Solanum lycopersicum: one gene and its partner. Each later gene encodes a partner of the first gene's protein in a complex. Links are inferred from orthologs where the notes say so. Each region holds a gene or a part of one and is shown on either strand. Other genes may lie near its edges.

What was found. The genes of interacting proteins can lie anywhere in the genome.
Region 2: large ribosomal subunit protein bL21c (region 1) and large ribosomal subunit protein uL24c share a complex: the UniProt entries of both Arabidopsis thaliana proteins name them as parts of the 50S ribosomal subunit. The link is inferred for Solanum lycopersicum from reciprocal best matches to the Arabidopsis thaliana genes RPL21C and RPL24.

What each region holds. Positions count from the first base shown.
Region 1 is NC_090805.1:43,261,469-43,265,776, forward strand, and holds the start of large ribosomal subunit protein bL21c, read left to right. Parts: upstream 1-1,422; 5' UTR 1,423-1,545; coding exon 1,546-1,839; intron 1,840-3,294; coding exon 3,295-3,375; intron 3,376-3,765; coding exon 3,766-3,867; intron 3,868-3,959; coding exon 3,960-4,034; intron 4,035-4,304; coding exon 4,305-4,308. Other genes in the region: calcium-dependent protein kinase 11, read left to right, coding at 47-187. UniProt on the Arabidopsis thaliana protein: This protein binds to 23S ribosomal RNA in the presence of protein L20.
Region 2 is NC_090806.1:68,736,309-68,740,544, forward strand, and holds large ribosomal subunit protein uL24c, read left to right. Parts: upstream 1-1,406; 5' UTR 1,407-1,536; coding exon 1,537-1,629; intron 1,630-3,037; coding exon 3,038-3,076; intron 3,077-3,386; coding exon 3,387-3,617; intron 3,618-3,800; coding exon 3,801-4,007; 3' UTR 4,008-4,148; downstream 4,149-4,236. Other genes in the region: calcium/calmodulin-regulated receptor-like kinase, read left to right, coding at 97-432. UniProt on the Arabidopsis thaliana protein: One of two assembly initiator proteins, it binds directly to the 5'-end of the 23S rRNA, where it nucleates assembly of the 50S subunit. Required for optimal plastid performance in terms of photosynthesis and growth.

The DNA.
Region 1 (4,308 bases):
CACATTTCTGAGTTAAGTCAAGCTAATATATTCTTCTGTTTGGCAGGATGGACGTATAGATTACGGCGAATTTGCAACAATGATGAAGAAGGGAAATACAGGATTTGCTGCTAGAACAATGAGAGGCAATTTGAATTTTAACTTGGCTGATGCACTTGGAGCAAGTGACAGTGAGAAAAAAGAATAGAAGGTTTCTACTTCTATAATATATCAAAAAATGCATATTATTAGGAAATGTATTATACCAACATTATATTTAGATTGTTTGGTATCTAACTCTCTAATTCTAGCATGATTGTTTACCAGACCAAGCTGATAGAATACGTTGGACCAACCAATAACCAGAGGAGTTCAAGGAGGCTTTCAACCGGACGAGAGGGGTCAAGTAGAGCTGTGTTTGCCAAGACAATGTTGGGCTATTACCAGCATATATTGGTGCTCTATTATTTTGTGATGGTAGATAGATTTAGTGCTATAGTAGCAAAATTTCAGTTGTTGCTACTCTCAGCAACAGCATGCCCAGTATCTTTCCACGAGCGAGATCTGGAGAGGGTGGGATGTAAACAAACGTTACTCCTACTTTTGCTACTTTATCTTATATAATTTGAGGGTTTTTCCTCTAGTTCATAAATTCTAAAATATTACAGTTGTTTGTACCTGAGAAGTGTTGTAAAAACCTTCTTTATGTCTATATTAATTTGATGTTACTGGAAATTGAGTACCTTTTAAGATCATTTTGTCATATATTAAACACTAAAATAAATTTCAGTCTTCTTTTATTTGTGTAATTTTTTTGATTTATTTTTTTTTCCTTCCAATTTTGCGGGCTTGATTTTTAACATAACAAATGGCATTACTTTTGTTCTTATTTTACTCTTCTTACCACGTATTTGTAATCTTACTTCTACGTTTTAAAGATAGAATAATTATTTTTTAAGAGCCTCAAATTAAATAAAACATATCAAAAATAGTACTAGCACTATGAAAATTAAATATAATGTATATGTAATTGCAAAAAGTAGATGGGAGGCTTTACATAACTAACCTCGAGTCAAAATTAAACAATGATGGCTTCAAGAGTAAATGACCTATTATATAATTTAGAATATTTGTTAATCTCTCCATTTCAAAAAGGATGGTCTAGCTTGCCTTGAAACAGAATTTAAGAAGAAAAAAAAATTTTTTAATCTTGTGATTCTAAATTAAAGTTATGTCAAATGTACCAAAATATCCTTTAATCTTGTGGTCTTAAACATGTCACGTGGAAAGTTCAAGTTAAAATATTATGAAAAAAGGAAATGAGTTTTTTGTTTTGAAACAGACTAAAAAAGGAAATAGAGACGTTCTTTTTGAAACGAAGGGAGTATTATGTTACGAGAATATGTAAATTTATACTATTTCTAATACAATTATTTTTAAAAAAATAAATAAAGGATTTCGGGGTAAAATAGTCATTTGGCTACCACTGCAGATAGGATAGGCTTCAACAGATAAAATTGAGAGAGAGACAGAGAATACCCAAAAAAAACCTCTCACTCTCTAACAATGGCAACCCTTTCCCTGTGTTCTACATCTTCCCCCTCAACAGCACTTTCCAAGAACCAAACTTTTCTTAACACCCTTTCTGTTCCCAAAGCAAATTCCAATGTTACTTTTCTATCTCACTCATTTTCCTCTCTCAATCTCCGTTTCTCCAAGCCCAATTCTTTATCCTCTTTTGTACCCAAATACTCAGAATCTGAAGCTCCAGTAGCTGAAGTTGAAGCTGACCAAGAAGAGCCTGTTGTGGAAGCCACTAGCTTGGAACCAAAACGGGAAGAAATCTTTGCTGTTGTTATGGTGACGACTCACTTCCATTCATGTTTAAATTTGTGTAGACATATCTGTTTGTTTTCAATTTCGAAATCAATGTGAGGGTACAATTTAGATTTTTATTGAAAAAATTATGAGGTCCCAAATGAAAATTTGAAAATTCAGCGGAAAATGTTTCAGTTGTCTGTTACCTTGAATTTTTTTCTCGAAGGAAATAGGAAATTGATCTATTCCCTCTAAGGGAATGTTACTTTGTTGTATAGAGATCACAACTTTGGTTCAAGATTGTCATGTGCTCAACCTTTGATATCACAAAAGCAGTCGGAATTTTAATAAGGGGAATTCAAAATTACTCAGACCTATTATTGAAGCAATTTCTCGAATTAACCTTTGCCACTAGAACGAAAACTTCCTTTATGTCAAACGGATTAGAAGTTCCAAAAATTTGTTTTCATGAAGAATGTTCCACCACACCTCACTCACTTAGTTCATATTTCGTGTTTGCTAGTACTGTTGATACATTACTGCTTCCTATGGTGTATGTGGTGAAAATAGGGAGTGTTACAATGAAATTCTTTCGTTCTGTTATTTATACGTCAATGCCATTCTGTGATGCTTAGGTTTAGCATTCTGTTTTAGGGTGTCTTAAAGGAACAATACACATGTCTATATGTTTGTGTCATATTGACTTGGCAGTGGTGGTGGCTATTGGAAATGTTAAAATAGTCCGTGCTAAATAAGCTGAACTGAACTTTTTATATGCTTAGTATTCTCCAGTAGAGTTGGCTGATGTTAACAGAAAACTATAATTATTATGAAGACATGACGAAGATTTAGTACTTGGTATATCCTTACCTGTGTTCTGGACACCATCCAATTTCAAAAATCTCAGTCTATGTTCTCTTTGGTTTTAGTTTAATTTCGTTTTACAAGTGGGCCATCTATTTTCGGTAGGCGTTTCCTCTAGTTAAGTTGCAAAGGGGTTCATATGGCAGATTAGAAGTAATATAACTAATAAATAACTGATAACTATCATTTAGTTCTAACTTTAGGTGTTATACAGTTGTCAGAGGGAATACATATCTACAAGTCCATGCAAACATTTAAGCAAAAGTCTAGTAATTGTTGAAATTTGATTTTGAGGTTGCCATATTCTACACTTTCATCTTTTATTTAATGTGAATTGTGAACTATTGTATTTAACCGGAGAAAACATTCATGTTTACTACTTATTTGATGAATATTTTTTCTTTTCCATGTGGAAAATACTCACTCTTGCGAGGAGATTATAGCTGCTATTTCAATCTGATCATTATTCCTGCTGCTAACAATTTTCAAGTCCTCTAGGTGTCAAATTTTGTGCTTTATTTTGTTCTTTTTTCTTTTTTTCAGATGAATGTGACACTACCCTAATATAACTCTATGGGGCTTGTCTTTAATACGTTAAGCTGTTTGTTCATTTTTGCTCTTTCGCTTTCATAGGTTGGATCTCGGCAATATATTGTTTTTCCTGGGCGGTATATCTACACCCAGAGGCTTAAAGGTGCAAATGTCAATGACAAAGTGAGCATTTTTGGTCTTAATTTACAATTGATTTCCCAAAATCTGGTTACCTCTCTGTGGCTTTGGCTTTAGTTACGTGAGTTGTTTTTCTTTTTCCTTGTCTCGCTATCTCATATCAACATTGTGGTGTCCAATCAAAAAGAACTTGCTTGCAGCAATTTCTCAATTATGTCAAAAGGCATCAATTTCAACCAATAGTGACATTTGCTTGTCCTATTTCTATTATCTTTAATACATTGTCTTCACCAGTTATTTTCCACGGAAGCTAACACTTGATATAAGGGTTATATGTGTATGTCAAGGTTTTCTTGCCATATTGGCAATACTCTTATTTCAAAATTTCCACAATGAGGATCATTGTTGAAGCATCTATACTTGTTGCTTCTGCAGATTATCCTAAACAAGGTGTTACTTGTGGGAACAAAAACAAGTACTTGGGTTGGAAAACCAGTGGTGCCAAATGCAACAGTCCACGCTGTTGTTGAAGAGCAGGTCAGACATCATTCTTCCTCTGCTGTAGTTTCCACTGAGTATATCTTGTTTACTTGACATATCTGTTGGCTCATTATTACATTTCCATGCAGTTGAAAGATAAGAAGGTTATCGTCTTCAAGTATAAGAAGAAAAAGAACTACAGAAGGAATATTGGTCACAGACAGGTATCAAAGAACTGTTTTTAGTGATATCTGAATAACTATAAAGTAGTTTGAACTTTTTTAACCTATCTGTTTGCCCTTAAAGCAAGGCGCACCGTAGTCTATCATAGTTTTAACTATGTCTGCAAATAATTACCATGCAAACATGAAAACTGTCTAAATCAGTGAGCTTACAGCCATGTATGAGACATGCCCCTTAAAATGATATTTGTGCAGAATATCATAACTTGCCCTTGCTTATGCCAAACTAATTCGGTTTCTGTAATCATGCAGCCAA
Region 2 (4,236 bases), on another chromosome or scaffold:
CCCCCCTCTTCCCCTACAACCTCTTTTATTGTGCATATGTTTCTGAAGCCTATTCAGTCATATAGAAACTAAGCTCCATAGGATTGATGATTGTAGGCAGCCATGACTACAGATGGAAAAGGCGGATGGGAGGAAATCGCAGATTCCCGTCTTGATGGGAAGTATGATCTGCAAGAACTTAATGATGTAGCAGCACTTGCATACAAATGTGTGAATCGTGCTGCCAAGAAACGGCCTTCCATGAGGGACACTGTGCAGGTTCTGTCAAGGATACTCAAGTCTAGACACGAAAGAAAACGCCAGAAGCGATCTTTATCTGCAACAGCAGAGGAGATTACCATCAATGTTGAACAAGTAGATCATCGGAATCCAATCTCTGGACATCGACGTGTTGAATCTATAGATAGCACAGCTGACTCGTATGAAGTTTAACTCAGTTCTTCCATTTGTTTATTTTTTTGTTTCATCTTGTAAAATTGGTCAGGTTGTTAGGTTTCTTATTTACAAAAACACACTTTTGTCTTGGTGAGTTCGTTTGGGATACTTAGGGGTATGTTATAGTCTGAGTGTATGATAGCCTTTGTTCCCAATTTTGTTCTAAGTTTTTGTAAATTTGCGTGGAAGGTTAATGAATGGTAGAAAACGGGGAAAATCCCAGATCAGGCTTTTCCACTTCTTCTACATTAGTATCCTATTCAATCTAATTTTATTAAAAAAGAACCAAGCTTTTTTTATTTTTTAATCCCCCGATACTTTTTTTCAATATATTTATTTGTTCAATTCGTCTTTTATATGTTTTGTCAACCTATAAAACATTAAAACTTGATCATTTTTCCCTTCTTAAATTAGGGCAAATTGATACTTTACAAATTTATAATTACAAAAAATCTTCAAAACGGATACAATAATACAAGCGTTGATACATTAATCTAATGCGCGAGATGCAATAATTTAATGTATGAGATACACTAATCTGATGCGTGAGGTACATTTTATATATGATACACTAATCTGATGCGCGAGGTACATTTTATACATGATACACTAATCTGATGCGCGAGGTACATGATACACTAATCTGATGCGCGAGATATACTAATCTGGTGCGCGAGGTACATTTTATACATGATACACTATATGATGCTCGAGATACATTAATCTAATGTGCGAGATACATTTTTATACATGATACACTAATCTGATGCGCGGGATACAATAATATGATTCGCGATAGAAATTGATGTGATGCATGAAAATTGTGAAATTTTAGAAATTTGTAAAACTTATAAGGGATAATGATAATAATTAAACTAAAAGGTGAGATTTTCGTAATTAATCCACAATCCCGAAATAGCTGAAAAGGGACTTTATAATTGGGCCGTACTCGACCCGTTGAAGGTCCAATTAAGTTGGATCGGGTGTCCAGGGATAGAGAGAGAAGAAGACGAAGGTTCTGGTTTTTATTATCCTATCCAAATACTCAGCTCAGTGTTGTTTCTTCCTTCAACAAAAGGATTTTGCAGAAGGTTTTGAACAATGGCGGCTCTGCAGAGCTCCTTTACTGGTCTCTCCATCTCCTCCACCTCCTTCTTCGGCCAACGCTTCTCTCCTCCTCTCTCCCTTCCTCTGGTATGCTTTCTCATAACTTCAACTATCTGGTTTTCAAACTGAACTATCTCAAATGTTAATTGTTTTGTTTCTACAACTGTATCATTCGGTCCAGCTTGCTCACAACTCGACTAATTACGTAGAATACCTGCTACCTCTAGCCAGAATTGAATTGTGTTGCAAGTAACTTTCTCCATCCAGTCTTACATAAATGCGAAGAAATAAACTAGTGTATTGTGATTTGAACCAATAAATCGTAGTTGTTCACCACTGCATTGACCACTAGGCTATATCCTATCTGTTTATCTCAATTTCAATTGTCTTTGTGAAAGGTCTTTGTTTGAATAATTTGATTTCTATGTATTAGGGATCATAGGAACAAAGGTATCCATTTCCATTGTACTATTGATTATAAATTAATTTTATATTATTTGATTACAATATATTGTGAACTTTTTCTCTGCTTGGTCACCATTGCTACCTGAGTCCTTTCTCATATCATATGTTTTTTCGCTATTATAAGTTTTGACTGCGTGTTTGGTACGAAGGAAAATGTTTACCTAGAAAACAAATGTGGAACTTACTAATTTTCTAGTGTTTATATGGTAACTAAGCTAGATAATATTATTCCAAGAGCATTTATATGTTATATATCCAACAAAATACTATGGAGGCGAGATGGGATGGGGAGTGGGGATTCGGGGATGGACGGACGTGATATGGTCAAGAAGTGGGAGTTGGAGGGATTGGGTGATGATAACTTGAAATGCTACTTATCCATCTTGTTTTTCTTACTTCCACTACGGAAGTCATTTTCTTTATTTTGAACTTGAACTTGTTTTCCTAAAGAAAATATTTTCGTAACACAGGAAAGTTGGAACTACATACCAAACACAGTGTATTTCTAGCTGCAAGAGAATAATTTTATATATAAAGACATCTACAATTTGATACAGTAGTTCCTCAAAAGTTCTTCAAAAAGTCAAGTATATTAAGAATATGCTAATTGGTTAACTTAAACTTACCCCCTCTGTTGTGATTGATGTCTTCCAAGTTCTAACATAGGATGAACCCTGTATTTGACTTAAGGTTCGAAATTTTAATATTTGGACATATTTATCAATTTTTTAATACATATATAGGGTCTGAGTTAAAGCTACTGGGTGCTGCTGAACCCATATTATACATATGCCTCTGTGTTCCTCGATAATAAATCGTTCTCATATTATAGTTACCTGTATAATCAGAAGTTATTGGAAGCAAATATGGAATAAGATCTGTCTCCAGAAAATGCACTTGCTTGTTATTCGGTTAACACTTTTTGGATGTATATCACGCCTTACGCAGTTTGTCACTTTTTATTGTGTCAACTGTAAAACTGGATAATCTTTTGCCACTTTAATGACAATCTCCATATAATGCCGTGCAGGTTAAATCAGCAGAAGGTCCATGTTTGATTACAGCAAAGGTTGGTATCTTGATCCATTTTGGTCCTTTAGTATATTGTCCGAGATAGACATTTCCGGCAACTACTTTTATAGGGTTGCTGTTAATGTGGTCATGCATTTCTTTTATAACTTATGATGTAATGAAGGAAGTGCTCGAACTAACTTGTCAACAGCTTTTAAAAATGGCCACCAAATGTTTGTATTGCTAAACCTTTGGTACTAATTTTTATGGGTATGATATTCTTTTAGCTGAAACAACAGTTAATGAGAATTGTGATTAGAATTAGCTTTATCATTGAATAAGAGCTTCTTTTTATGTCTATTTTGCAGCTTAAGCGATGGGAGCGTAAAGAATGTAAGCCAAACAGCCTTCCAGTACTACACAAAATGCATGTAAGGCTGGGTGATACTGTAAAGGTAATCTCCGGCCATGACAAAGGTAAAATTGGAGAGATTACCGAGATCATCAAGCACAACAGCAAAATAGTAGTAAAAGAGGTGAACTTGAAAACCAAGCATGTGAAGAGTCGGAGTGAGGAGGAACCAGGCCAGATAGTCAAGGTTTTATCTCGATTTCTTTCTTCTCTATCTTGCCTAAAAATTGTTATCTTGAGATTTCATTTCGTCGTGGCTAGCATCGAATTCATCTTTGCCCTAACAAGAAAGTAAAACTTTGTGTTAAGATTTTAGATTGAACTTCCCCAAGTTGTTTGGATTGAGACGTAGTTGTTGTTATTGTTTCAGATTGAAGCTCCTATTCACAGCTCAAACGTGATGCTTTATTCAAAAGAGCAGAAGGTAGCCAGTCGGGTTGGTCACAAAACTTTAGACAATGGAAAAAGAGTCCGGTACCTCATTAAAACTGGGGAAATCATCGATAGTGCAGAGAACTGGAAGAAAGCAGTCAAAGAGAAGGGGAAAACAACAGAAGCAGTAGCTGCTGCTTCCTAGGAGATCCACTGGTCTGTAAATTCTAGTTCGATTTTGCTAATTTTGAATCTTCTCTCATTGATATATTATGATTCTGTTGTCACCTTCACCTTTTTAACTCAGTAACATAAGATTTTATATTAAAGTACATTTACTCAAAAATTCTGTTTGCCAGTACTATTACGTACTAGAGTTTGATGGTTAATGGGTCGAATACAATGATCTTTATGTGCTTTATGATTCGAGTTCT